Linked DNA regions of Styela clava. The protein of the gene in region 1 purifies or fractionates together with the protein of each later gene. This does not show direct contact. Links are inferred from orthologs where the notes say so. Each region holds a gene or a part of one and is shown in the gene's direction. Other genes may lie near its edges.

Region 1 (7,351 bases):
AAAATGGATACAATTTCCGGTGCTTCAGAAGTGTACGTACCAATATGGAGGTAACTAATTTTGTTCGCAAATTTTACATCAAGTTGTGTAAAGGGACTGAAGCCTATGGGCAGGGGGTATATTCACTTGGCTAACACAGACAGTCCCCAAACTCGTAATAGAACTAAAATAAGGTAAATCGGAATAAAATTATGGCCTAACCTTAACCTGGTACACACACTACAGGAGTACCCAAATTCCATTAGCAAAATAGGGATAGGATAAAGATAGATGAGAATAGATAATGATAGGTGCCTATTCAACAGTTTAATGACGGAAATAAACTTTTTTACATCTTTAAAATAAATAATGTAATGAAATAATTCAGATATCACAGCGATAAATAAATAAAATATAGGTATTTGCTCCGTAAAAAGCATTTGTCATTATGACATAACAAGTTTTTTTACAATTTCTAAAGCCTGTACCATACATATTCAGATATTAAAATACTCTCACTGATAGAGATTTATTTGAAGTCAAATAATAAAATCCTTTTAACCCTGCTACCTGTCAAATATAAAAAATTTTAACAAAGGATTTCATTGATTAGACAGTAACAATGGGGAACAGTCGTTAATTTTAACAACTTGAATTCAAACACGCCTCCATTTTCATGATTATAAAAGTAATTTCATTGGTTGCTATAAAAACATTACACTTGTGATAGTCAACGACACTGACACGCCTACACGCCCACAAAAATTTTCCCAGTATATACCTATACTAGTTTATTTTGTACTAAATATGATGGTATCCTGATATGTGATTGTGTTGTGAGACTAATCTAAAATAAAATTACGTTTAATTTTCAATTATATCTCAAAACAGATCAAACAACAATGACCACTTCAAAAATGATATAGAACACTCGATAGTAAAACACTTCAATTACAAAACTTTGTAAGTGTTGTGCACTTTTACTCTATAAAAAGCCTATAATGAGAAGTCACTTGTGTGTGGAAAAATCGTAACTTCGTAAGAGTGAATAAGAGTTTTGGTATAAGCTAATACGTATTCTTGTCTCGATCAAATTTTGTTATGAAGTTACTCCTTAATATATCTTCACCAGGTTTGATTTATTTTAATCAGTTTTGGTGTTTTTTTTACTTCATTTGATACACCTTCAGTTGCGAGAAGTACATCAAAGTTCTTTAACCAAATTTACTAGATATAGGATCTTCAAAAATACCTTAGCACGCACAATACAATTTCCGCAAACGATAGAATAAACTTGAAACACAGTGAAAATTAAGTAATCAACTGAATTTTTTTTTTGTTTCCAAAATTCTTCATCACAATACCTGAAACCCTTTTGCATTCTTGTTGTGAATATACCGCCATTATGCTCACACCCGATCCAATATTGCAGACGAGGTAAGGATAAGGATTTCGGAAATTGTATGGTTCTTTTTTCAGTCCGCCAGGGTCTAGGGGTTGTGCAAGAGAAAAACATTCAGATCTTCCATTGACTTCTGTATTGTGGTCGATAAAATGAATTCCTGTCGAAAACAGTAAAATAGTTACTTATTAACAAAGTATTTACAGTTGTATTTAAAGAGCAATTAATTCTGATATCCCAATCTAGAGTAACTATGAACCATTGAAGTTGCATAAAAGCAAATTTATTTATTTAGCACAAATATAACCGACGGTTATCCACAAATCATTTATGACATTAAACTAATATGCATTATGAAAAAACACAGTAAAAACATGCCACAACAGCAAAAAATATTAGTTAGTCATTCACTATTTATTAAGGGCTTGAAAAAATTTTGAAAATATCTAAATGATATTTGAATTTTTGCTTAGTTACAGTATTTTCTTAAAATTTTGGCCCTTTGGCAAAATAACAATGTCAAATACTTGAAAAATTTGACATATCTTGTGAATTCACATCGTATTTTAGTATGTTATTTATTGAACTTATTAATATTATGAAATTCAAATTTGAAAGCTGAATTCCATGATATGAAATCAACAAACTCCTATGTATTGAATTTGACTAAAATGAATAATACGACAATATTAAATTTTACCACGAATGAAAGAATCCTCACAATGCAACATTGAACTTGTTTATAAAAGCTTTCGAGGCTTATTAAAACAAACAAAAATCATCTCATAAGGATTGACTTGCAGTATACATCCTGATCGATCAGAACAAAAACATAAGAGACAGATGTACAGGCACGGAACTCTTTTCTTGGAGCATAACACATATTAAGGCTCTTAATCAATACTTGAAACTACATAATATTCTTAGGTGCATATAGTAAAAGATAGTACCGGTAATATAACTGGTGTCGTGCTGCAATCATAGTTGGAATGATGTATGTTCTTCATAATTTCATTGGTATTAGTGGTATGTTGGCAAAAGTATACCTTAACTAAGGAACTCCAACTGTATATTACATACAATGGATGAAAAAAAAATCTGGCTATTCTCAATATCAAATTATAAACTGTCATACACGCAAGTGAAAACGTACTAATTAAAATTGAAATATTTCCGCAAAAAATTGAAAATATCAATTGGTATATTTGGTCACAATATGAGAACAAAATATGAGACAAAGAAGAAAGACAACAATTTACATAATATGCGAGTTTATTCCATTCTAGCAAACAAACATATCTTATTAATAAGCTATTTCAACATGATGACGTCGGTATTATTAAAATATGTCAGTTTTATCAATAAGCTATTTGCAAAAATCTAACTTCGTTAATTGAAACCATAATTGCTACCACAAAAAGTTTATAAAAATCTTGATTTTTGTCAAGTTCCATAATACACTAAGACATTCCTGCAAAACACAAATGCCCGCTTACCTCAACTGTAGCTAGGCACATAATTAAACTATCTTTGGAAATATTTAGGGGTTCTCTACAAAGTTGCAATGTGCTATCTTTACAAATTTTTAATCTTTTATTTGGTTCGTCGTTCGTGGCATATCAACATTAACTTAGATCTAGGGTGTATTTAAAGATATTTGATTATTATTAACTTCTTCAATATAGCAACTACCATATATGATGAGTAGCCATTGAAGGGTACTTGTGGAAAAATTTTCAATTGACAGACTGAAGGGCAATTTGGGGAATTTCTAGTCTAAGAGCTAGGCTCTTGTTTCGAGGAACTTTCATGTAGGTTTCTCGTCTTTATTGAGTTGATAAAAATAGCAACGCATTAATTAAGTTTAAGAGTTGTAATTAATTTAGCCCATTGAATCATAAATTTTTGATTGTGCTACAAGAGCTGATGCGACAACGACAAGATTAGGTTACAAGAATCACATTCATTTTATTTTAGAGTGTGTTCAACATAATGTGTAATATGTCACCAAAATAGAATAAAATATAAATACTTGAAAGAGATGAGAAAAAAATTTAAAATCAAACCTCGTTAAAACTACCAGAATTAGTAAACAAAAAAAATTTTAATTACCCTTTATCAGACATTGAAATTCGTCCAACTTGTTGAGTCTTAGATTAATCTCCTTCAAAAATTTTTCTTCAAATTTATAAGCTCCTCCTCCAGTTGCATGACATATATTATGCATGGTTGAAAATTCTTTCTCTTTGACCATTCGAATAAAACTATCCATCCTGTGTGTTGGAAATCGAAGAAAGTGCATGTTGCCAACATAACCGTTGAATTTCAATCCCTGAAAAAGATCAAACTGTTAGAGAACCAGGGACATTGTTTGATTATTCTTCCATGGTAAAAGTAAAACTATAAACAGGGGGCACAAAATCAATGGAAAATTTAAAAAAGTACGGTAGTAAACATTTTTGATTTTAAAAAAACTTAAAATATTTTTAAATTTAAATTTAACCTCTGCCGTTCACATAACAAATAAACTGAGTTTTACCTCGTGCTGTAAAAAAGACTATTACGGTAATAATCAAAACAATGTTTATCTCAAACATTCTACAAATTCAATTCCTATTAATTCACAATAGCTTGTTATTAATGGTGACATCTCAAGATTGCGCTTCCTTTTAGTTCATTGCGCACTGACGGTTTGCCAATTTGTATCAATATGAATACCAAGATTGTCTCGTAAATGAGGGGTTTGCACTGACTGTTATTATTGATGTCTTTTAACCTAGGGGCTATCCTTGAAACCGGAGAACTGTGTTGATTTTATAACTTAAATGATTTTTTATACAGCTATATTAACAAAGCAACAAAAAACCATGAACCTTGATTTCTAAATGAGCATCCCGCACTCCAGTTTGTCCATACGCAATACTCGATAACAAGGTTTCACGAATTACTTTCAAAGATTCTTCTTCATCTCGTACTTCTTGTTTCGTCATTGAAGTTGGTTCAAAATAAACGAGTTTAACCAGAGTACCTCCTATATCAATCCCATACCAAGGAAATGGTTGACGTCCTTGTGGTGAATTTGTGGCATCGCTTGTAGCCATTTTTATATAAATAATATAAAATACTAAGGAATAAATAGCAATGTTAAGCAACTTCAAGACCTTATAGATACCTCTATTCTATGTTCGACTCTTTTTTCTCAGTATGATTTAATGTTAGACTCCGTCTTAGGCTGTTAGGTGATGCTGTTCGATAACCATCACTGGTTCATTGCGTCTCATTTCACACTGAAATGCATTTCTCTTATCTTCTTAATTATGTTTGTACAATGTGTGCTTTCGGCATGTGATAAAATAAACTACTGACCTCAGCCGCTGTAAGTTGTGCATCATTCAACATATCAAGGGGTGATACAGTGATACCGTACCTTATTAATGCCAATATCCAAATTTAGTACATGCATTCATAGCATCACAGACAGGGCGAATGCTGCAATATCAATCAAGCCAGCCTACTTTGATACTAAATTTTATATAGCCTAGTTATAGTTTTAATTGGACATTTCATAGGCTACATTCAGAACCACATTCAATTTGATCTAAATTTAAGAGGGACAAATTCCACACCACCAAAGTATTCATTGCATTTTCATTATTCGAAGCCCTCTAATAACATTGGTTACCGTACTAACAATACAGCAATTTAAATCCACGATCAAATTGAATAGATCATTTTATATGTTAGTACCCGGTACTACCGTACACAGTACACACAAGTCACACAATCTCGGAGCGATAAAAATAATACAAAAATGCAAGATCGTTTAAAAATCAACGTATTCTGAAATAATAAATATGCCCAGTCTTTCAATGGCAATGCAGTAATAATGCAATTTCCATTAGTAACATTAACGAAAGAACGCGATACCGGCGTTGTCGAACGCGAATTGAATGGTGATTTTGTTTTGGTTGGATTTTGGGAAACGCGGTCCGCGCTTTGCTTGCGCATCATGACTCATGAGGTACGAATTATTGCTCTCTGTCGGAAGCTAGAGGCTGTTTGAAATGATGCATATGGCTAATTTTCGTACTTTAATCTGTGTGACAAAATTACCCAAGAAACATTTTAATTACCACACTTTACTGTAATTCGATTTAATTGTATATGTCTTTTATAAATATTGTGAAATTTTAATTTTATACCCTGTCTAAATAACCACTGGGGCATATCGGTGACTGCAAACAGTGAAAGTCACGCTGGTCTGGCAGGTGCTCCGGTTTAGAAGTTAGGGCGCTTGGATGCTGATAAAAGAAATGTCCTACTGCCGTAAAGAAGGTTAGTTTCAGTTATTTCATCTAAAAGCTATTCTCACTCGCATGGAATATGACTATAAAATGTTTTGTTTGTTCAGGGAAAGACATAATAATATTCGCGACAGAGGACGATTTGTCCAGTCCCAGTACGGTCACACTTCTCCCGGATAATCCCAGCGATGTAGATACCAGCCATGAAGGTTAGCAATGCCTTTTTTATTATTTGAATGCTCGAATATACGAGTATAGGTCGTAAATCAAATGTTATAAGCAATTTATCCATGGGATTTGAGCTTGACGCATATTAATTACATTATTTCTATAAGATTCAAACGGTGGATACCCCTACTGCCCTATACTTAAAATTTGTACCCGTCTCAAACCACATTATTAATGTCCTCATCAAGTAGTGGCTATATTTTTCATGTTTAATTTTCTTGATATTGCATATGACTTGATTGAAGAATTGTTACGAATGCATATCTTTTTGACTTTACAATTCCTGTACTTATTTCTGGCTGCCTAATATCAAGGCCACACACCATGATTTTCCATATAGTTTCGTCGTATTTCATTTGCCTTGTGGTATGGGTATGAAATCGTATTGTAAAATTATTGACAATATTTCATTATTCCTAGGCGCAATACTTCCGAATGGAGATATAAACTGGGATTGTCCATGTCTTGGAAATCTACCAAATGGACCTTGTGGCCCCTCATTTCGTGAAGCTTTCACATGTTGGGTGGAAAATCGAGACGACCAAGATTCTTTTGCGGAAAAATGTTTTGATAACTTTTCTAAATGGGAAGATTGTTTATCAGAAAATAGAGACATTTATAAACCATCATCTTCAAAGCAAAATGACAATGACGATAATTTAAATATTGAAGCTAATGCTTTAAATGAGACTGAAATTGAGAACTCAAATGGTTCAGAAACGGTTAATATGAAGACCGAAAACAGACCTGCTATTGCTGCTGCATATATCGGAGATTCTAAAGAAAAATGAGTTTGTTTGCGAGGTTCTGTATTAAGACAAGTTTGATTGGTATTTTCTGGAATACTTTGTTACATTTTTTTACACGATTCCACAAGTGAGTGAATGCTTTCAAAGTGCAGTTTCCCCACTAAGGGCTGTTCTTATCTATTATTAAACATAACTGAATTGTGGCCGCTGGGTCCTAAGTGCTTTTCAGCGGTACTCTCACATGAACAAATGCTAGTCCAATCTTTTGCGACTACGGCTTTCTAACAAAATAATAAAGTCTCATTACCCAGTTGAAAGAAAATTATATATTTGAAAAACAACAAATTTTTAAGTGCTTAATTCTAGCCTAAAAACACCATGCGAAAAAATGATAAATAGAGTAGCATTAAAAGCAAGCAGCCTGGACTAGTAATTAATTATATAAGGTGTGCACTTAAGTGTTTATTTTGTGATTGGGGGGGGGGGGGGAGCATTTTATACTTCCCAGGCCGCTAGATGAAGGCAAAAAATTACTTTAAAACCAGATGCTTGCAATAGAGATAGTTATTACTAATAGGTAACACTGCTCGCTCCACTGTGGATTTTTAAAAATAAATATTCTTTATTAGGGAAGAATGAATTTTTTTGAGGTATTTCCGATACCACAACATCGATAGCAACATTTTATC
Region 2 (6,828 bases), on another chromosome or scaffold:
CATAGTGAACCCCAGTTGCCAGTGCATGCTGTGTATGAAAATAGTTAACTTGTCTCAGATGCAAAGACTTAAATTGTACCAAAATAGAAAGAACCTCACAAAACAAAGCCATATGGAATGACTTTTATTGTGCAATGAACTTAAAATTGACTGTATGCATATCATTGAAACATATGCCTTGTTTACCTGTTGGTAAATATATTTTCAATATATTACAGGTATGATGTATACAAGCACCAAGAAATTATTGGTGCAGTATTACCTGAAGGACTAGATTCAACATCGGGTTTTGAACGAGTCGGTCATATCATTCATGTCAATTTATTAGAACATCAAATGCCATACAAGAAATTAATTGGTCAGGTTAGTTATATCTTGGATTGAAGTTTGTTATTAGTTTGATATATCGAGCAACGGTTACTATTTTGACAATCTCATGCAAATGTTAACCAGCTTAATTTTCTGAAATGGTTTGATGAAGATTATTAATTGACTGCTTTTACCATATTTAAACTCATATTTTTCTCTCCATTCAAAGCTCATAAATGTTGATTATGGTTCTTTCTGGAATTTTTCAAAATGGTTTTTAAATCACTTTGTAACATTATGCCTCCGACAATATTCAAGTTTAACATGAATATATGTGCAACTACAGATGTTGCATCTGCCCTAGATCAATTGAGTGAATTATTGTGAGTTGTGACTGTACTTTGATAAATTATTTCAGAAGGGTTTAATAATTAGGAATAATTCTCATTCTAACTCGCAAATGTGATTGTTATCAAAACCTTATTTTCAGGTACTTCTTGACAAACACAAAGCAATCACAACTGTCGTGAATAAATCTTCAACTATTGACAATACATACAGAAATTTCCTAATGGAGGTTATTGCCGGTGAAGCAAATTTTGTTACCAAAATAATTGAATATGGCAATATTTTCGAATTCGATTTTTCAAAGGTTTGTTGTTAGTAATGATGCAGAATTTATTAGTACTGTAGTTTTCTATTCACATACGAGTATCTAAACTCTGGAGCCCTTTTTCATTCAGGTTTTCTGGAATTCAAAGTTGCAAACTGAGCATCAGAGAATAGTGGAGTTGATTCCAAAGGAATCTGTTGTCTTTGATGTATTTGCAGGAGTTGGACCTTTCTCCATACCACTTGCCAAAAAAGGTATTAAGGTAAACTACCAATCAAAGAACTCGCTGATAGTACTACCCAAAGGGTTTAAATTCGACAATTTTTCGTTATCACTTTTACAAAATATTTTTATGTATTTGCTATTTTGTTGACTTTTGTAAGTTGTATCATGCTGTCGTTTTGGAAATGGCATGAATATAAATTATAATGATCTTGTTTTCCATTATTAAATTTTCGTACTTCAAAAATGGGATATGCAAAATTATTAAAATTCATCCACCACTGTAATACATTTCAGAATAAAGAAAAAGTTTCAAGCTACGACCCTATATGCTGAGAGTGAACATGTTCCTCAAATAACATTTCAAGTTTGTTAGATTCTCTATTTAAATGGTTTTGTAGCAGTTTTCCCCTCCATTTTACTGAAATCAAGTTTTTTTTTTTATGAGTTTATGAAAATGAATTTGATTATGGCAACAGGTTGTGAAGTATATGCAAATGACTTAAATGAAGAATCATACAAATGGCTTTTACACAATTCAAAACTAAATAAAGCGAAATTGAATGCATTCAATATGGATGGCAGAAAGTTTATCAAAGAATGCTTGGGAAAACATTTGCAGTAAGTATTAGGTATCTTACCACTAGTATTCAATACCCCAGGGATGGTGACTGAAAATGAATTAACCCATCTATCTTATCAATTGCATTTTAACTTTTATAGATTGTCATCAAAAACAGAGACAATATGTGTTATAATGAATCTACCGGCACTGGCAATAGAATTTTTAGATGCATTCACAGGATTGGTCAAGAATATTAAGTATGCAACATTGATAAGGAACGGTTTAGCAATCGGAATGTTTAATTTAATTCAATAATATTTTATCATTTAGTCGAGCTGAAGACAACAAGACATCAAGTTCATTACCTCCAGTGACTGTTTATTGTTATGCTTTTTCATCTGCTCAAGATTTAAAAGGTATGATTCCTATATAATTAAGGCTTTTTGTCAAATTTAAGACTTTCTGACACAATCTTTTGCACTACTACTATTCTTAAATATGTATTTATTTTAGGTGATATTAAAGAGAGAGCAGAACAAAGCCTCAGTGAAAATCTTCCTGAACATAGTATTCGGGAAGTCAGAAAAGTTGCACCAGGAAAATACATGCTTTGTTTATCTTTTGAAATTCCTTTTTCTCTTTTATATGAACAATCAAAAAATGGTGATACTGATGAATCGGAATGTAAAAGAATAAAACTATCATAGTTCGTATTTTTGTATGTTGAATTTGGAAAAGGCAATCATGCACACATTTTATATCGATAAATACACTGAGCTGCTCATATTTTCATATTTAAATTTGAGGGAAGGCAATCCTGATAAAATGCAGTATTTTATATCCATGTGTTTTCTACTGCCTTATAACCACACTGGACTGCAGCTATATGGATTGCAGAGGCCTTGTGTGTGTACACTGTCTGTAAACTAGCGTGTCTTACATCTATGCAGTTTGAAAAGGATAATAACATACATGTTTGATGACGATTTCAGATGAACTTTAGGCTTGATGAGTAACAGTGGTTGGCGGTGAAGTCGTGGATGTCTCTGATGCGAATGGTTTTCACAGTCCAGTGAGATTTTTTTCCGGGAAAGCCAGGGACAATAATTTAGTTTCAACTCTGACATGTGACAAATGGTAGAAATTAAATTCTGAATATGATCAAATTTAGATTAACAGAGAATGAGTTTTGAAATTAATATCGTATCTTGTTAAGTTAATGCAGTTACTTGAATCTGTCTTCTGACCAGTGACTGGAGGCGAATGTTTTGAACAAAAATCGGTTTGGAACCAGGATGTTCAGATGCCCAATTTTGAATCGAGTATAAATTTTGTGTGCTTGGTTTGTTGGTAGTTGAGATCGTACGCTATCCACCAATTTCCTAACTTAATTCTAAATTATGTCCTCCATCTAGGTTACTCTGCAATTTAGTTATCTGTTTTCGCCTACAATATTGTCTTTTATCGCTTTAGAGGACCCGAATTAGGCGACAAATTTTAACAAAAATAACACGTCGTTAGACGAGAAACTTCAAATGTACAGGTTAGCAATGCAATTTGTATATGTCGCGGAATTGTTTCGAATATTTTCGAGTCTAGTCATCAAAAAGTTTAAATCTGTAAAACAAAAATCAGGCTTTCCTGAGACGTGGGTGCACCAGCCCAGAGATGCCATGTGCTATTTATAATAATTTATTGGTTTACGCTGGCGCACACGACAACGATTGCGCAACAAGTTTTGGTACAAATTCAGTAGATTCAGCCAGATTGTAGATTGAATCGTGGCAATTGTAGGAAGCACTGACTTGAAAATAGTTCAATTTATATTCAAAATAGTATAAATATTCAAGTTTCTCTAAAAAATTTGTTCAAATTGTTTTTGAATTTAATCATTGTTTTTTGGTTTAAATCATTGTTTATCCCAAAATTGATATACCCGTTGCCATCTGGCATCTATGGAATTGTATAGTAATTTTGCGAAATTTATTATTCCATTTCAGTCTCGCAGATTCGCACGTGTGTTGCTTCTATAGTCCATTTCGCAGTTACACTTCTGTTTTCGGTGATTTTCTCCATATTTAGATTTGCTGCAACTATCCTACTCAAGGACCAATTTTCATAGGTCTACTGTGATCGTCCAAATACAAGAGATACTCATGACGCCATAGGTATTCATATGGCAGTATTGCCCAGGTGCCGTCTGGCCTTGGTGAGTTATTAACCCTCAGAATTCGGGTTTAGTACGGTATAGTTTTGTACCACAAGTACTTCCGGTGGGCGTAGCATAACGAATTTTGCATATGCTATTCCTAACCCCCACCTGACTATGTCATCCAAAAATTACGTCACTACGACGTCACCCTCACGTCATAGGGATTGCCAAAGTATAATTACGATCGCCCGAAATGACATCTGCGCCGCCGATAACGAACTTGCTAAAGCCGGCGATCTCTCTCCTATAGTGACCGTTGTGACGGGAAAATGAGAGAAATTGCTTGCTCGATTTCGGGTGATGGTCTGTGCGTTTTGGACGAGCATCCGCATACTTCGGTGGGCCTTATTACGCCACTGTGACGTCGAAATGACGTAATATTTCGGTGACGTAGTCAGGTGGGGGTTAGGATTGACATATGCAAAAATTGTTGAGCCAGGTCAACTAGAAGTACATGTGGTACTGAACTATACCAGACGCCAGAATTCAATCACAGATGGGCTTAGTGCATGAAAGCTGTAATAGAGTTTTTATTTTATCTGTTAACTTATGCAGTATATCGAGGTACAGTTGGTGTTGCCTAGTATATTTTAGAGGCGTTCATGTCTGGGTTTGGGGCTTCATTTCCATCTCTGAAAAAGGAGCATAGGTATTGAGGCTAAGAGCTTTATTCGAATACCGTATGTCACATACTATCATTTATTACCAGAACTTTGTCTTTCAATGTAAATGCAATCTGATTTTCACTTTACTATATCAGTATATGTTAATATATGCGATATGCATATATTATTAGGCCAAGAGACGTTGAAAAAAAACTTCCTATGCCTATATACCGTTAAAATGCTGAATCAAATTATTACTGTTTTCTGCTCAAATTTTACATTGTCACAGGTGTTCCAAACAACAGAACAAACTTTTTTTTCTGCATTCTAGTCTAATTCATTTTTTAAATAGTGTATTTGTGCTCTTCAATATTTACAAACAATGAATGTAGCTCCTGAACAACAATTGGCTGCTGAGCTTGAAGTTGAAATGATGACTGATATGTACAATAGGTAAGATATTTATTATTTAACACCTATACTTCAACACGGTATGCAGCTAATCCTAGTCACGCCTTTTATGCAATCGATGCAATATTTGAATTTATTTGTGTTTTTATAGATGACATTTGGACTAAATTCACTAAAAATATAATGACTTTTTTTAACCAGAATGTCATCGGCATGTCAGAAGAAATGTATCAGTACCAGCTACTACGAAGCAGAACTACAAAAAGGGGAATCTGTTTGCTTGGATCGTTGCATCGCCAAATATTTTGAGATTCATGAAACAATTGGCAAAAAATTAACAGAAGCTTCACAAGTAGAAGATGAAACAATGAAGAAAATGCAACAACAACCTAATTGATAAAAACAGCCTATAATGTGATAAGCTGTGTAACTTTACAAACAGATAATATTCTTGGTGCAAGACACATGCAATTATTCAACAAGGAGTTATATGAGATTGCACATGTTGTTTGATAAAACTGCATAACGGCATTTCTCATATATGTATTTTGGTTTGTGCGTATAAAGACAGTTTAGGAATCTATAGTTCTGGATATCGAAAGCAAGGCTTTTTGGCAGGTTTTCGCCAACAAAGGTAAAGCTTCTATGAAATCAAGTTACACTGTTTAATAAAGCGTAATTAAAAGTAGGATCTTGAATATCATTTTGTTAACCAGCCTATTATTTATTTACAATAAATTTGTTTCTTTGATAATACAGCGCATCAGCGATGTAAGTTATAGAAAATATTTGGATAACCACAGAGTCGCCCATAACTTATTGCACAACATTGCAAGTCTAAGCGGTGATGTAGGAACGGTTGTCATGAAATTAGATTGTGCATTTCCAGTTGGCCAGTGTTCTGTGTGTGTGGTATTTTTGTGCAAATTAGCCATTCTAATATGTTGTTCAAACTTTTTGTATTGTTTTAATATTTATTAAAATTGAACCTAAATGTTATTATGGAGGTATTCATTTGGCACTTATGTTCCACTTTCACACAGTGTAAATAAGTTATATGTCAAAAGGTATATACAAATAACATATGAAAAATAATTGAACATAAATAGGTAATGACAGATCACGGTCAATATAATAATGTATGAATAATGCAAGTTTAGCAATGCTTTAAAACTGGGATTCTCTTTTTTCTCTCTCTTCCCACTTTGTTAATATCATGTCCTGTAAAAAATTAAAAAATAGACAAAGTAAATGTTTGAGCCTTTCACATAAGTTATTGCTCACCTTATTGGGTTTCTTATCCAATAAGTACTTTCACACCGCTGAATTTCCAAATTGGTTATTACAGTTTACTCAATTTTCATGGTTTGTTGGGCGCTCCAGAAGTGTATGTACCGATATGGAGCCAACTAATTTTGTTTGCCCACTTTACATCAAGTTGTATAAAAGGACTGATGAAACCTATGGGCAGGGGGTATATTTACTTGGCTAACACAGACAGTCCCCAAATTCGTAATATTCAACCGGAACGCTTGAGGAAAATCGGAACAAAATTATGGCCTGACCCTAATCCCTGGTTCCTGTACTACGGGAATATTGATTGTTCTGCATACAGTCTATAGAATTCATATTTGCAGAGTGGTTCATATTTTATGACTGCCACTTGTGACTTCACCATACATGTCTATGTATCTGAACCCAGACTAAGATATCATTTCCCCTCTTACAGGATAATATGAAATCCTATTCTAACCTTTCTTGTTGTCAGCTCTGCACTGTTTACTCTCCATCTGTTATATGTTGCATTTACTGATGCTACTTTTGACCCTGGACTTGAAGTTGCTTTCCTTATTCCTGGCTTCACTCCTGCTCTTATACACATTGCCCTGTG
Region 3 (8,085 bases), on another chromosome or scaffold:
TTATGACATTTGTGTGTAATTTATGTTCATTCAACAACAAATTAGCACAACAATTCATAGATCCATATTGGGGCAATCTACGAACGCGAAATGGTAAGATTTGGTGAACGTATAGGATCAATTCTTGAATGTACATGTTACTTTTTAACTGGCTAGTCGTGATAATTATTGTACAACTGTCGGATAATTGCTACAGGCAAGGATTAAAAATGAAGATAATATGTGCAGGACTGCAGAAAACCGGTACAAAAACTATGGCTCAAGCATTAAGAATACTTGGCTATAATGTACATGATGTATTTGAACAGTTTTTCTACGAAAAAGAGTTGTGGGACAAGGTTGGTAATAGAGCAAGCAACGGCGGTACTCCCGTAGTGTGTGTACCAAATTGGGGTTGGGCCCTAATTTTATTCCGATTTTCCTTATTTTAGTTCTATTAGTTCGGGGACTGTCTGTGTTAGCCAAGTGAATATACAAAATTAGTTACCTCCATATTGGTACACACGCTTCTGGAGCGCCACAACAGCAGCAAGCTATATTGTCTTACGTGATTATGAATTGCTTCCTTTATAAAGACATAGGTATTCTAATAATTTGGAAGCGGATCCACTCGTTTCGAATCCAACTGTCTGAAGTACGTTTTTATATGTATGATACATATGTTTCTTGTGTCCGAATTTGTGACATTATTTCGGACACTTATTTTCAGTATTGTAAAATTTGCATCACTGCAATTTATGTGGAATTATACACTTCTGTAGCGTTATAATTTTTGCAATGTTTACATCAAATTGCAGGTTCTCGAGAACTCGGCATCCGTGGAAGACTACCAAAAATTTCTGGGAGAAATTGATGCAGTAATGGACTGGCCTGCTGTTGCTGTTTGGGAGCAAATAATGGGAGCTTTCCCAGATGCAAAAGTAAGAAAATTCAAATAAATTGGCGAATGGAAACGTAAATCACAAATGACTGAAACTGATTGCATGGATAGTATTCATTTGGTGATTATTTAAGCTTCAGGTGTCATCCCAGTTATCTCCGATCTTTTTTAAGTTACCCCAGTTTTGAATATAACATATCCGCTGAGTGACTTCGCTTGCATATAGCAGATATATTATAACAGAATTTAAAAAATCACACAGCTTCTCAGACCGCCAATGCTAGTTCATGAACTCATTTGATTGCAGGTGATTTATTAAGGTTTGGTGAATTCGACTAGTTCAGTACCATCCTATGTAACGGGATCATTCTGTTCACAACAAATGCGTGAAGTCAGATTCTAGGCGAATATATAAGATCGCGCAGATTCGACTTTCGTATGTTATATTTGGACAGATATCTGGTATTTATGAACCATGTGGTTCCGAGTTTCGTATGTGTGGCGCAACTAAGCTACAACTGACTTTACTGATATTCCTATGCGCAAAGAATAAAAAGCCTGTGATCTTATTATTTTTGTTATAGATAATTCTGACGGTTCGTTCGACAGAAGATGAGTGGTACGAAAGTATGAAAAAACATTTTGAAGTTGCAAACCAATATGTAACGTGAGTAAATGGAAGAAACTGCATATTGTAACTTATTGCGAAGTAATGATTTCTTTGACTATTCTTTTAATGAAGTAATGACTATACTTTTAATCTCCACTGTCGATTTAACCTTCAGGATTCGTATGGTATATTTATTCGTTTAGAATGAATGAAACTTTACTCAGAATACTTTTACTATTTGCGGGACCACTTGCCAGAGAATTCAATAAAACGCAAAGAGCGTTTATACCGGCCTGTCTTGGATTGCCGGTAATGTATGGATCACATACTGAAACGTTTCTGAGGTAAGTTACTGAAAATCTAATGTAGGCTATGTATGCACGATGGGCAGCTTCAATGGTGACCGTACATTTAAACCCATGTGTATATCCGCGGGTCCAATCTATTTGTGGGTGCTAAAACCCATGGGTTAGGGTTAGTATGGGTTCAAATATCCGTAAAACAAAAAAAATTTATATAGGTGCAATAGTATACAGGTGCAATTGTCGTGGGTTCAAATGTAATGGAAGTGGAACCAGCTTCAACGATGTCATATTTCACTTTCCTAGATCTCGATATCGACAGCATAATCTTTATGTGAAATCAATTTGTCCGAATGAAAAACTTTTAATATACAATGTTAAAGATGGCTGGAAGCCACTGTGCGACTTTTTGAACGTCGGATATCCGGATACGCCTTTTCCAAGAGAGAACATAAAATCGGATATGATTCACAAACTTTTGAATAATAAATGGGAGCACGATTGCGGATTCCAAAGCCGTATGGATAGACAAATAAGAGTAAGATTGGGAATAATATTAGCTGTGATGCTTGCAATATTTTCATATGTTATGTACACAGTTCTCGGATAAGAAAATTCACCGAAAACCATTTAAGTTTCAATCTTCCTAAAACTGAAATATACGTTTTTGCTGATGGAAGTATGATTGGTGGTGTATGGTTGAATTATCAGCATCATGGCGACTTGTAATTTGAAAGTAATAATTATTGTGAAAAACAAAACTATTCAATTCGATTAATTAATTAGTAGTAGTTAATTAAATATGATATTTCTGGGTATGACTTACAGCCACAGCCTTTATCATATCGTTATTAAATATTTCGTATGTGTGTAATAAGTACAAAATTTGTACCATCAATTTTATCTGTGTAATTTGTAACAATTCTAATAATCAATTGTGAAAATTAAAACAGTGCATGATCATTTAGATAAATAGTCAAAATGATTTAATCATATGGCATCTCGTTTGGTTACCAGTCCATGTTCAAATGCATGAATTAACTGCTGGAGGAAATCTTACCAACCAGCGGTTACGTTAGCACAATAAGACGACAGGAGTTTACCAATCACCTAGGACACAATTGCCTCCGACGGGATTTGATCCCACCAAGGGTGAGCATAGGTGCGATGGCAAGCATGTTCCTAACGCTCAGCACGGTGCGCCAACGTCGGTTCTGAGAAATGATTAAATGGAGCAAAATCACGAAGCCTTGAAAGTAGCTCATTCCTAACGTAACGAATGTTTTTATCGAACCACGAGCCCATCACATCGTTGGAAATTTAAAACATCATACGCAAAATGAAGCTTAAGTCTAGTTTGAGAGTCGATGAAATTTCATTCAAAATAGTTGAATATTTACTCAAAATTCCAAGACAGCCAAAGTTCTTCTTCCTCTTCTCAAAAAGGGTAGCATTTCAGATCTTGGAAGTTATAAACCCATTAGTTTCTAACGTCGCTTTCCAAAATTTTTGAAAAAATAATAGCAGAATGTCAAGTTATCGGGCGCGAAGTCAAAATTTTGTTGTTGTGTGAATTTTTTTTCTTGTTGTGTATGAAAAAACGCCGTTCTCGTTAACTACCAATTGTTTTAAATTTTCAACGGTTTAAGATTTTACCTCTGTGGTTGTGTGTGAATTGAATCAATACTTGCAGGTGAATGAAAACGTATCACTTCTTTATGACAAAACCTTCGCTTTGCCTCGCTCAAGGTCTTGCTTTTGTTTTCGTTTATTTTTTATTAATCATTTTATGCAATGCAATATCTTTCTGTATTGTTTTGTTTGCTCTCTTGATTCTATAATCAGTTTTTGATTTATTCACTTTTATCAAATACTTTATCGTCTGTTATGCGGATTATGGAATCGAAATAAAGTTATATCTCTAACTAAAAAGGGTCATGAAATGACTGCTTGATTGGTACATCTCCGCCTTTATGTATTAAAAATATATTCCGCCGATATATCATGGGGTTAGTGCCAAACTTTAGGTCAGGGTTTCCCTAACTTTCAGTTCGTCGTTACCCTTTAGACCAGTGGTTCTTAACTTGCGAGCCTGCTGAATCCCTGCCGCCGAACCCCATCGCATTGAACGGTTGAAATTATCTCCCCAATCCTAACTTTTAAAGAGGAAGTTAATTTTGTGCAAGGTTATAGAAAATGAACATCGTGTGTAACCTTAGATATATATCAATACCCCGTGTGGAAATAGCCATTGTTTTGTCACAAAAGTGTCGGCGCCAAAGGAAGCAGATGTTTTTTTCAAGTTAATAAACGTGTATATAAGTGAAAATTTGATAATAAAAAGCAACTTTGAAAATCCGAAAGATGCCAATATGCATCAAAAACGTCGGTATTTCAAGTAATTTGTTTCTCAAACTGCATTGAAATTCGGATAAAAGCGTTTGCCAATTGTTTTATTTTACGGAAATAGATATAGGATATTATATGACTAAATGTACGACATCTATGAAGTTTTCGATGAAATGTACTGGGAACAAAGGTGTTATAGGGAGACAAGTGCGTCTTAGGGATAAAGACTGTTCACCCTAATATTCAAAGTTCGATTCCCACGTTATTAATTTCACGTGTTATGGAATGTGACTCCAATCTGGATTCCCTCAGACGATAATAAGCACACGATGATGATTGTCGAATTGTTGTATATTATTGAAAAGATGCACGATCCAAATTCCAAGTACAGATAAAGTTGTATACACTTAATTCCTAATGCAGTAAGATTACGGTCAGATCCAAGTCATAAATCGAGTGAACAAGAAAAGCACAATATTATAGAGCATTCTCGGCAGACCGGAAACGATACGTTATCAAATTGGTCGAAACGAGAAAGGCAATACATGGAGCGAATGCATTATCGCTGTTGCGAAACATAATGCGGCCTAGTTTGTGAAATATTACATGCTATTAATATGAAAGGGTAAAATACATTATAATCCATAGTTACACAATGCACATTCGCTACAGTGTAACATCGACAGGTCTACTTAAACTTATATCTGCGCGAAGCTATACACACAGCTAAGCTAACTTATTATTTGTTGAAGGTGTAAGTTTGAATTTCTGAGATGAACTTCAGTTATTTTTGCATGATTAGTGGAATAGGTAATAGACAATCATATAATATGAAACTGTTTCGGAGGATCTTCGTTGAACCCCTGGAACAGCTCCACCGAACCCCATGTGTTCGATCGAACCCAGGTTAAGAACTACTGCTTTAGACAATTTAGGATTCGCTTGCGTAGCATACCCCGAAAATTGCACTGCGTGCTGTGATTGGTCAAAATAGGTCATGGGAACTACGAAAGCAAGCTTGTTAGTTACTGTGGTGTAGTTACAGCACAGATGGTTAGCATTCTTCTTCTCTGTGGTTACAGCTTCTACTTTGAATGAACTGTGACTTCCTAAAGAGTTCTTTCTTGGTAAATTATTTAAATCAGATGATAATATTGTAAGACAAATTACAAGCTATGGAAAGACTATTTTCGCACCTTATGTCGAGATGTACCCCAAATTGGGAACTCCTCCTTTAGGCATTTACATACATTCGCTGTTTTAGGAACAATTGAATGACTGCTTAGCACTTTTTAACGGTACGGTACAAGGAGCGCATGTATTGATGTTCAACATAAATTTCTTAAGAACAAATATTTTTTGTAGCAATTTTCAGGAATATTTCTTGTGGGATATTTTTCGGGTGGAATTTTTATTTCAAAGGGAACACTGCCAGGGTTAGCAACAGAAGATACCTTGCTACAAGTATACCGGTACTACCAAGCGTGATTGCGGGGCCAGCGCAAATGCGACATGGACCAAATTAATTTTAAAAATGAGGAAGAGGTGAAAGAATATTTGCAAAATACCGAGATTGAATTTATGTTTGGGTGCGAAAAAGAGTTCAATTCAGACAGTGAGTGCTGTTTTATACCTTCAACAATTTAACTTAGTGCTGCAGTCAGTGGTAAATGATAAGCTTCTTTGAATTTTTTGGGAAAACATGAAAAAATTAATACAAGTTCTCCAAAACTATTGACTAACTACTGTCTATAATACTACAGGTTGTGCCAGGCTTGGCAACTTTCTAGAAGTCGTGCGAAAGGACTACAAAGGTGCAGGCACTGCTTACAAAACATGTTGCCAAACATATAGGAATCCACTATGCTGTTACAAAGTTGGTCAATTTTATATGCTTGGAAAAGGTGAGTGACATAGGCATTACGTGTAGGATTATCATATTACAGTATTATCCACATCACTGAAAAACTGAGCCCTAGAACTGTTTTGAAAATTATAGATAGTCTCTTATGGTGTTGGGACTTTTTCATGTAATTTACATGCTGTTTTGTGTCCACTGTGTCGCAACCAAATCATATATTCCAATATATCAAAAAATGTCTATACTACTATATCAAAATTGTCCCTCTTATTGAAGTTTTGCAGTTAATCCCCATCATTTTGTACATACTTACGAGTTATATATAAATTCAGGTGGCTTGGCAAAAAGCCAGGTTGGGGCATTCGACTCTTACAGAACTGCATGTATCCAGACCAAGACTAAAGATGAAGGCAAAAATGACAGAATTGCAGCAAGCTGTTGCAACATGGGCTTGTTGTTAACGCAGTTTCCAGTGAGTAATTAGGAACGCTTAGTCAAATCAATCTGTAGAAAATTTAGTCCTTTAGTTTCACCATTACTGCATTGAATACATGTCACATTGTGGCTCTAGAACTCCTATGTTGCAAGTTGAACAAACTGGTTTTCAGCCATGTTCCTTATGTTAAAGATGATATATCAACTCATATATTTCGGATGGAGTGTTTGAGACCAATAAATCATTTTTGCATACCCAAATACCATCTTCTTTACAGAAACTAAGAGAGGAATTTTGGAACACAACAAAGGAAAAAGTTGATTATTCAAAAGCAGACTGTAAAACTGAAATCAGTAATCTACCTACTGATGCTGTACAAGCGATTCAAAGATCATGTGATCTAAATGACGCTGTGGGTTGTAATTTTTTAAGCCAATTATACATGACAGGCTTTGAAAACCTATGCAAAAAAGACTTTAAAATAGCTGCTAAATATGCTGAAAAATCCTGTGAATTAGGAGACGCAGGTGGTTGTCATAATTTGGCTCTGATGCATGAAAGAGGAGATGGAGTGCCAAAGAACCAGGCAAAAGCTGATGAATACAAAGCAAAAAAACTTGATTTGTTAAAAGGAAATACTTCACTACAATTTGGTGCGCATTAACTGTGATAGTAACGCTACATGCTGTGTTTGTGTTGTTAGGATAAAATATTGTAATAATATAATGCCGAGCCGTTCGCATCAGAAATATTTATTCAACTGGTGTCTTAACAAATTGGCGATGCTGAACCTACCACTTGAATACTCTGAAAGGCTAGGCAGGGGTTTCTCTAGAATTCAAAGAAACTAATTGTAAGAATCCGCAGCACCTGGCAGGAAAGAAGAGTTAAGCAGATCCGTGGTTCGGGTACCTCAATATGAAACAGATTGCGTAGCCTGAACAAAGGGACTCCAACCAGTGCCGTGGGTGTGCCTGAACCATATCACAGACCACACACAGCCTTGTGTCTGGTATTGTAATCGGTAACCAGTTATTTGTTTCAGATGCACGAACAGGACTAATGTTGTTAATTTGATCCATTGTAGTAGGTGCGATGCATGAAACCTCACTTGCAAGCCTATGCTAGATTCATGTCGATAACGGTTGAACCTACAAGTTAGGACCCAACAAATGCAACACTGTTTTAAGCAAGTCTCATATGCACAAGTCAAGAAAAACCTATATTTGATAGAGAGAAAAAAAGTGAAATTTAAGATGTATTTGCTGTTCTTGGAAACCATGTCATTCTCTCTGGCTGTTCTAAAGGCCTTGTAACAGTGTGCCACCAAAAAGGCGGATATCCGTCTTTCTCCTTAGCTGCTGGTAGTTGGTCAGTCATAGGAACTCCCTGAAATTAACGAGGGATGTCAGTAGAACAATAAAATGACTTAAATTCTCGAATCAGTACTCACTTCTTCAATATTTTTTTTATCCCATTCTTGCAATATTTTCATTTCTTGTTCCCAGGTTTGTTTTCGAATTTCGATCCATTTTTCTCGTTTGGCAAGGAAATCGGGAAACATAGCTTTTTCTTCTGCACTCCAAAATTCGATGTAGTGCTCAGGAATCTATTATTACGATAGGATATACTAGTAGGCACACAAAA

What was found.
Region 2: the proteins of mitochondrial intermembrane space import and assembly protein 40-like (region 1) and mitochondrial import inner membrane translocase subunit Tim10-B-like purify together in Homo sapiens (co-immunoprecipitation; 4 studies listed by BioGRID and IntAct, with this or other methods). This does not show direct contact. The link is inferred for Styela clava from reciprocal best matches to the Homo sapiens genes CHCHD4 and TIMM10.
Region 3: the proteins of mitochondrial intermembrane space import and assembly protein 40-like (region 1) and cytochrome c oxidase assembly factor 7B-like purify together in Homo sapiens (co-immunoprecipitation; 3 studies listed by BioGRID and IntAct, with this or other methods). This does not show direct contact. The link is inferred for Styela clava from reciprocal best matches to the Homo sapiens genes CHCHD4 and COA7.

The regions. Positions count from the first base shown.
Region 1 is NC_135258.1:10,888,211-10,895,561, forward strand, and holds mitochondrial intermembrane space import and assembly protein 40-like, read left to right. Parts: upstream 1-5,558; 5' UTR 5,559-5,679; coding exon 5,680-5,716; intron 5,717-5,792; coding exon 5,793-5,894; intron 5,895-6,333; coding exon 6,334-6,704; 3' UTR 6,705-6,717; downstream 6,718-7,351. Other genes in the region: pantothenate kinase 3-like, read right to left, coding at 1,344-1,541, 3,494-3,713, 4,255-4,482.
Region 2 is NC_135253.1:5,422,056-5,428,883, reverse strand, and holds mitochondrial import inner membrane translocase subunit Tim10-B-like, read left to right. Parts: upstream 1-4,803; 5' UTR 4,804-4,908; coding exon 4,909-4,979; intron 4,980-5,138; coding exon 5,139-5,334; 3' UTR 5,335-5,936; downstream 5,937-6,828. Other genes in the region: tRNA (guanine(37)-N(1))-methyltransferase-like, read left to right, coding at 219-363, 800-961, 1,053-1,176, 1,624-1,765, 1,868-1,966, 2,040-2,125, 2,223-2,416; uncharacterized protein LOC120326221, read right to left, coding at 6,105-6,158, 6,691-6,828.
Region 3 is NC_135262.1:10,210,327-10,218,411, reverse strand, and holds cytochrome c oxidase assembly factor 7B-like, read left to right. Parts: upstream 1-5,456; 5' UTR 5,457-5,653; coding exon 5,654-5,756; intron 5,757-5,904; coding exon 5,905-6,045; intron 6,046-6,334; coding exon 6,335-6,474; intron 6,475-6,715; coding exon 6,716-7,102; 3' UTR 7,103-7,193; downstream 7,194-8,085. Other genes in the region: uncharacterized protein LOC120332494, read left to right, coding at 23-93, 197-338, 798-920, 1,465-1,547, 1,694-1,834, 2,099-2,330, 2,761-2,871; NADH dehydrogenase [ubiquinone] 1 beta subcomplex subunit 9-like, read right to left, coding at 7,690-7,827, 7,892-8,047. UniProt on the Homo sapiens protein: Required for assembly of mitochondrial respiratory chain complex I and complex IV.